Linked DNA regions of Rattus norvegicus. Each later gene encodes a partner of the first gene's protein in a complex. Links are inferred from orthologs where the notes say so. Each region holds a gene or a part of one and is shown on either strand. Other genes may lie near its edges.

The links.
Region 2: the proteins of Tnks (region 1) and Usp25 are in contact, whole or in part, in a crystal structure (PDB 5GP7), measured with the Homo sapiens proteins. The link is inferred for Rattus norvegicus from reciprocal best matches to the Homo sapiens genes TNKS and USP25. Residues at the interface, in NP_003738.2 of Homo sapiens: Arg836, Ser838, His842, Leu843, Gly846, Tyr847, Leu871, Asn876, Ser879, Tyr880, His882, Asp900, Trp902, Phe904, Glu909, Gln912, Lys913, Gln934, Glu935; in NP_037528.3 of Homo sapiens: Ser1046, Ser1048, Arg1049, Thr1050, Pro1051, Ala1052, Asp1053, Gly1054, Arg1055.

Annotation. Positions count from the first base shown.
Region 1 is NC_086034.1:64,053,596-64,057,416, forward strand, and holds part of Tnks (poly [ADP-ribose] polymerase tankyrase-1), read left to right. Parts: intron 1-2,886; coding exon 2,887-3,007; intron 3,008-3,821.
Region 2 is NC_086029.1:29,159,993-29,163,813, forward strand, and holds part of Usp25 (ubiquitin carboxyl-terminal hydrolase 25), read left to right. Parts: intron 1-795; coding exon 796-923; intron 924-1,254; coding exon 1,255-1,350; intron 1,351-2,369; coding exon 2,370-2,531; intron 2,532-3,060; coding exon 3,061-3,287; intron 3,288-3,821. UniProt on the Homo sapiens protein: Deubiquitinating enzyme that hydrolyzes ubiquitin moieties conjugated to substrates and thus, functions in various biological processes including inflammation and immune response.

The DNA.
Region 1 (3,821 bases):
GCTTCCTGTTGTGAATCCTCTTGGTCAGAAGCTGACCTGTGCCTGTGCTCATGCTGTTGACTTAGGAGTTTATGAGTCAGCCTTCAGTCAGCTTATCCTCTTATCACTTTTATTGTTCTTTTTTACTGGTTTTCTTCCGAGTAAATCAATGTCCCATTGATTTTTCTTTTGTCCAAAATAATTTGTATATCCTTTTCATAGTCAAGATGTTAACTGTTGCAGTTAACGCATATTACCTGGTGTAGCCCCTCTCCTCCAGATAGTGGTGTGCCTTTCTATATATTGACCTATTTTAACTGTCTTTTGGGCCATTGAGCAGACAATTAAGTTTATTTATTATTTCGAGTGCAGATGTTATCTGTAGTCTTCAGGTATAAAATCCTAAGCTACTTAACTCTTCCACAGCATGCCTTTAGAATTTTCTTTTCTGTCATAAACATTCTGTAGCAGTCTGGTAATGTGATCCATCTCTGTGTCTACTTAATCCTGCTCTGGGTGTGTTTGCTCAGACTCCTGGTGTACTGTATTCTGCTGCCTCTGTTCCTGCCTGCGAATACTGCTGTCCCAGTGAGGCGGGAGGCAATTCTTTTATTTCTTCCCCTAGAAGACTTGAGTGCATCATATCCTCAGCTCCACCGTCACAGTTCTCTTCTCAGAAGTCTGAGTCGTCCTCTTCCATAGATGCTTCATAGAGAAACGTCAGGATCCTGTCTACTTAACTGTAGCACTGCATAGCGTCTCCTCACACTCATAGTGTAGCTTCCTACCTAGAATGCTTTGTTCATGGGAAAGGAAAATTGGGTTTACATTATAATTTATGGAGTTCAACTGCTATGACTTGGATTTTCACAGAAAGTAACCATATCCATTTTATTTCAAGTTGTAGTGCTTGGGCCCAACAAATTCATTGTAAATACGGTTACAAAGTCACCACTGCTACCACCCCAAGGGAAAAAGGCCTTTTCACTTACAGTAGTTAATTTTCTCTTCACAGGCCAGGCAAACAAGCAACTCTTAGGGGCAGGAGGCGACCCTATAGACATAGCCCTTACTCTATATGCAGAACCGTTTTTAGCTGATAGATGAATAGACTTTATTATTTTATATTAATGTACGTTAGATATGAGTAACTCCCTTCTCCCAAAGAAAAGAACTTGGGGAACAAGCTTGTGGTTTCCTCCAAATACCAAATATATTCTCTGTTTCCACCAGATAAGTCAGTAGAGGCATAAAAATAATAAATAATTAAATATAAGGGGGAAGTACTATCCTGTCATTTCCACTATATCACATTAGTTAACTACTCAGTAAGTGTAGCCCACACCCAAAGGGAAGGGACTTTAATTTAGAACACAAATGCTAGAGACTGAAGATCTCCAGCAGCCATTTTAGAGACTGCTCTCCACACCAGGGAGGAGCCTGGCTCCCTGAGCCCTGCTCTGTGAGCGGAAGTGTAGTAACTCAGGGTTCCTCTGCTGGGGCAGGGGCTTGGGTGAGGATTTTACATTCGTGTTGTGATTGGAAGTCTATATATTAAAACTGTCTTTATTTCTTCTCTAGACATGATTAGAAATCCCTTGGGGTTTTGTTTTGTCTTCTAGCCTGACTCTGACACCCTTCAGCTCTGCACTGCTGTATGTCAATTAGAAAGCTTTTGATGTATGTAACCTGGTTACCTCACATACACGAGGCTGTGTTTTTATTGTCAATATTCATATTTAAACTGAAATATAAAATATCTAGAAGAAGACGGTATCGGCAGCATGGCTTACAGTTACATTAAAATCAGGTCTGACTAAGAACTATTTTGTAAACTGTTCTATTTCAAAGATGATTATTTCCATGTTGCTGTCTTTTTAAAGCTCTGTTGAAAACTTCTTTGGGTGATTAGAAGTGACTTACAGATCTTGTACCATGAAACAATTATTTCTTCAATGGCCACTTAAAGTAATATGCTAAATTACCTCAGAGAATGAGCAGTGTGGTCCTTGCATGGACGATGCTGCTCATCGTGCAGTGTTTCCTTTTGACAGGAAAAATCAAAGCTCCGGCTCGAAACTGTCACTTTAAGTGTAAGGACTAAGAAAGTGATTTTTTTTTTTTAATTTTGAATGAGTTAGAAAAACGATGTCTATAAAGGATATTTCAGTTTTCCAAAGAAAGAAAATAACCCAGGGCAATAGGCATGTGTTTGCCCCAGGACCATTTTCTGCCCTGAGGAAACTACCAGTGCCATCCTCTGGACATGAGGTGATGTCAGAGCTTTGCCACTGGGTGGAGGCAGAGTCACAATCTGTACAGACATCAGCCGAGTGTTGTCAGCAAGCATCACTAACCTGGTATTTATGAACTTAAAAACCATCTCTCCTTTTCTGTACATTGAGATTTCTTTATCTCTCATAGAATGGCCTGTGACCTAAACTGATAAACCAGCCCGCCTCCTGAAGCCACGGCAGTACTCCTGGCTTGCTCCTTTCCCAGCACTGGGAAGTTCTCATCTTACTTTTGCCACACTGTGGTGACAGATTAAAATGTTCCCCCTCCCTCTGCCATTCCTTTCTCCTACCCACACGGTACAGAATTTGGGGTTTTCCCATTTTCAAGCTGCTGATCTGTGTATCTGGAGACACACAGAAGATGACAGAATGGCAGCCAGAGAGACGTGGCAGTGGTCACCTGTCTTCCCATCACAGGGATCGTCTGCTCCAAACAAGTGCCAGAGGCCATTACTGAACTAGGAGGCCACTGGTCTTCTTAGGCTGCATGAAGGTGGTGCTTAGAAAAGGAAGCTGTTCGTCAGACTTGTAATTGCAGCCCCTAGACGGCACAGGAGCGCTCGTCCTCCCAAGCCGGCACAGATTTAGTTAAGTTTGCTTTCGTTTTCAGATCACGTTAGATGTGCTGGCCGATATGGGTCATGAGGAACTGAAAGAAATAGGCATCAATGCCTATGGACACCGCCACAAGTTAATCAAGGGCGTTGAAAGACTCTTAGGTGGACAACAAGGTAAGCTGTTTTGGGGAAAAGTTGTTTTCAGAACTTAGTGAAGAAATATCAGACTGGATGTGGGGCTTGGGTAGTCTAACCCCAGAGCACATGCAGGTAACTGGTACAGTGTTCTCTCCTCCCTCGCTTCAGTTACTCACTTGTACTAGCTGGACAAGTCTGAGATCCTCCCTCTGCTACACTTCTCTCAAATCTTTGTACTTTGTCCTTTCCTCTGCTTTCACCTAACCCAGTCTCTCCCTCTCCTGGGCCTCAGAGTCTACAACCTGGACCTTCACCTCCCTCCCTGCCTTCTCCACAGCCTCCAGAGGACTCCAGCACATGCCTATCAACCTCTAATCCTGCTCTTAACCCTCCAGCAGGTTAAGTGCTTTCTGGATAAAATCAGGCACTTACTCCATGGTTTCCCTCAGCTTGGCCAGTCTTGCCTTATCTTGAGCTCTCCTTCTGCCCTCAGGTTCAACCATTGTCCTTCACTGCCACAGGCCTCTTCTCTTACTTCCATATTTTCTGTACATCTCCTTGTTAGACACACTTTCCATAGAGCAGAGAAGAGAAGGAACATATATCTATGGAGTTGAAAAAACTATAGGCAACCAAAACTTTGAAGGTTTTGAATTTGACTCTTTTTTTGTTTTACATGTATTTTAGTCAACCTTATGAAATTAACAGAGCTAAGTTATGTCAGTAACCATTTCAAGCCATCCCTGAAAGAGGTTTAGAGGGCAGTTACTGTAGTGTAGAACTCATTCCATTGTAATTCGGTACGTGTTCTCTTTCGTGTAGACATCAGCTATGTTCATGATGATTTTGT
Region 2 (3,821 bases), on another chromosome or scaffold:
TCTATATTTGTTGGTTTGTGAATGTAAATATTCATTTTTAAAAAAAAATAGTATCCTTTTGTAAAATTAAACTTGCTCCATGAAAACCAGCTTTTTGAAAATGTTAAACTTCCTGATGCACTGAAGAGCTGCCAAATTTTGCATGTAGGGGTGGGTGGTTAAGACATGCTTTGAAGGGGTTGGGGATTTAGCTCAGTGGTAGAGCGCTAAGGCCCTGGGTTCGGTCCCCAGCTCCGAAAAAAAGAAAAGAAAAAAAAAAAGACATGCTTAGAGCAATAAGAAATTTGACTCATTAATTGCTAGTTTGTATTTGAAAGTTTTTACAATTTTTTTTGCTAATGAAAAATGTTTACCATAAATCAGTATAATGTGTAATTGTAAGATTCAAGGTAAAAATAGGAAGAGAAAAAATAGAAAATAGGAAGATAATGTTTTTCCAATTTTAGGATGAAAACACTGAGCATTTTTGCCAGACAAGTATTTTTCCCTTGGAATCAAATCGTGGATTTGACATTCGGTTTTAATAAGTTTTAATAAGTGTCATTCAGCATGAGACAGAAGACGGAGCTCTGGAGTCCTTTTCTTCGAGTTAGAATTTTGAATGTTACAACTGTATAGATAAGGTTTCCCTCTGTCCTCTAGACAAAGGCTATGGGAACTTCAGATAGATGTTCAGCTGTAAGGTAAACATCATAGTTCCTCTGTGTGCTGTCAGCGCCAGGATGGTATCCTTGTCCTTAAAACTCTGATGAGAAACCTAACTGAGGCTAAGTGTCTGTTCTCATTTTCTTTCAGCATTGGTTCACTGAATTGCCACCTGTATTAACATTTGAACTGTCAAGATTTGAATTTAATCAGGCATTGGGAAGACCAGAAAAAATTCACAATAAACTAGAATTTCCCCAAGTTTTATACCTGGACAGGTATGGTTTGTACAACATGTGGTAGGTTTGCAACTGTTGAGTAAACAAGGGGAGGGTAACTGTATAGTAAAATTCGTTATTTCCTTCCAGCTAAAGTTTATTGATGCTTGATGTGTCTGTTTTATTATTTGTTAAGGGAACACATTCATTTTCTCTTATCCATATATAGTTCTGAATGTAAATATATTAAATGTTAAAATAGTTTTGTGTTTTATATCTGGTATCTTATAAAACTTCAGTTAATCTTTTGTAGTGATAATTAAATTTAACATCATACTCGTTTCTAAGATATTTGGGAACATTAATGCTGGCTAATTTTTTTCCTTTGTAGGTATATGCACAGAAACAGAGAAATAACAAGAATTAAACGTGAAGAGATCAAGAGACTTAAAGATTACCTCACAGTATTACAACAAAGATTAGAGAGGTATTTCTGCCTTCGTGAAATTATGACAGGAAAGCAAGTGCTTGTGACTCCCTAGATTATTCATTTTAAATATGCTTCGGGTAACTTATAATGTATACAATCATTCTGGATTTAATTTTGATTATTTATTTTAGAAACTAGTTTGCATCCTTAGTAGACTGTAGATGATTACTTTAGAAATTGAAATGAAAGATCTGATTATCACCGCCTTGTTCCCCTGGTGCTGAAAGTGGAGGTAAGGAGGCTAGCAGAGAGCACAGGGTTCACTGGCTTGAGAGGAGCGGCAGCTGAGTGAGAGGATCCGCACTCTTCCCACCTGGCCTCCCAGGAGTCACACAGTGGATCAGTCACTCAGGAAGAAGCTGGTCAGCGAAGGGCATGCACGGCTCATAGACGTGTGTGCCGAGTGGGTGGGTGCTGTCGCACACCATAAGGGAGGGGCTGTGCGTGCATGTGTAAGAACATCGTGAACATTGTAAGAACAAGTCACAGCTCCATCAAATGTGGAATGTGGGTGCTGTGCAGGCCAGAGAAGTCTAAGACTGAAATCCCAGTTGCTGACGTACAACTTTCTGAGTTAGGTTTAATTTGCATGTTAGTAACATAAAATGTTGAGTGTGAACATATATTTCTAGTGAGTTTTAGTCTTAAGTTCCAGTACATGTATGAAAAGTGTTCATGGGGTAGGTGACGATGAAATGACTACCTGGCCCCTAAGGCTCAGGAGATGAGGATGTTTGCAGATGGTCCCGACTTTGTTTCCCCACCGGGCACAGTTTAGGATGGCGTCTTAGGTGCAGCCACACATATGACTTGCATTTTGATCAGCTCTGCTGTCCTTCCTTCTGAGAACATTTAGTCCATCTCTTGAATGTATGTTCAGTTTCACCTTCTTTATTAGAAAAGCAAGTGAATTCCACTGATGTCTTATTTATTGATGTGTTGTCTTATTTTATAAGACTTAAAGCCACAAATTATGCTGACAATATAGGAAAAACATTTGTATATTTTATTAATAGATATTTAAGCTATGGCTCCGGTCCCAAAAGATTCCCACTGGTCGATGTTCTACAGTATGCGTTGGAGTTCGCCTCCAGTAAGCCTGTCTGCACCTCTCCTGTGGATGATATCGATGCTACTTCCTCAACCAGTGGCTCCACATCATCACAGTCGTTACCAAGGTAACGTTCCCATGCAGCAAGCTGCTCTGGTGCCTGTATCCTGTGCTGCCTTCACACGGGTTCTGTGCTGTTGTGATTAACCTCGAGAAACCCTTTAAACAGTGGGTCACCTTAGCTGCTTACCCCTTATCATTTCAGCAGGTCTGTGTTTATCTGTGGAATCTTTATACATGGTCTCTGCTCACAATTATACGTTCAATGTTCTGGTTTGTAGTTTCTGAACGTTTATAATATGTTAATAATGCTCTTGAACACAAATTTCTTTCTGGTAATGCAAGTTGGTATTTGCAAAGGTAGAATATACATTAGATTTTCCATTTAAAAATAAGAAGGCATTCTTGTTTTAAAGCCACACTTTCATCCTCATAAGATTTTAGTCCTCCCATACTGAATGTCTCATCAGGATATTTGATCAGTTCATGTATTTCTTAAGATCATTTTCTCTTGAAATTATGAGGAGCTCGAATGCTATCTATATATTTGCCTTCCATTTGGAGGTCTAATAGTAGTGTATGCTTTGAAACCACAGCACAACAGAACAGCAGGGAACCCCTGCTTCAGACCTGCCCAGCTCGTCACCTGCATCAGGTGCTGCCCTGTCACTGAGGTCAGTGATACACAAACCCTTCACTCAGTCGCGGATCCCTCCAGACTTGCCCATGCATCCGGCACCAAGGCACATCACAGAGGAAGAACTGTCTGTGCTGGAGAGCTGTTTACATCGCTGGAGGACGGAAATAGAAAATGACACACGAGGTAAGAAGCCCGCAGACTGGTTGCTGTCACTTCAGATGATGTTGTATACAGAAAGGGAAAAATCCCTTGGAATTCATTTTAAATACTTGTACTTTTCCTTCTTTTAAAAACTCTTTTCTGAAAAGCTTTTGTGGGAGACACTGATCTGGCTCTGCATTCTTTTGCTGTTAGTGTCAGGTTCACAGGCACCAAAAGGGTTTCCCCAGATTACTTAGCTGATTAATGATGGAGCAGATGGTCTGATTTGCCAGTGTAGTGTTCTAAATTTATATCAAACTGGAATTCACAGCTACTCCATTGGGGAAATGTCATAGAGCCTCAGAATTTGTACTCATCGGTTCTAAACTCCATCTGATGCTTGCACAACGAAGAGGGGGTAACTGTTTCCCTCTGAGTATAAAGAAAACCACTTGAAAAGTGAAGTTTTATTTTTGTTTGTCACTGGAGGTTTAACCATGCTAGAGATGCAGAGTCCCATCTCCAGCCTCATTGTTTAATCTAGTCTAAGAGATTTACAGATAGGATCCATGGACC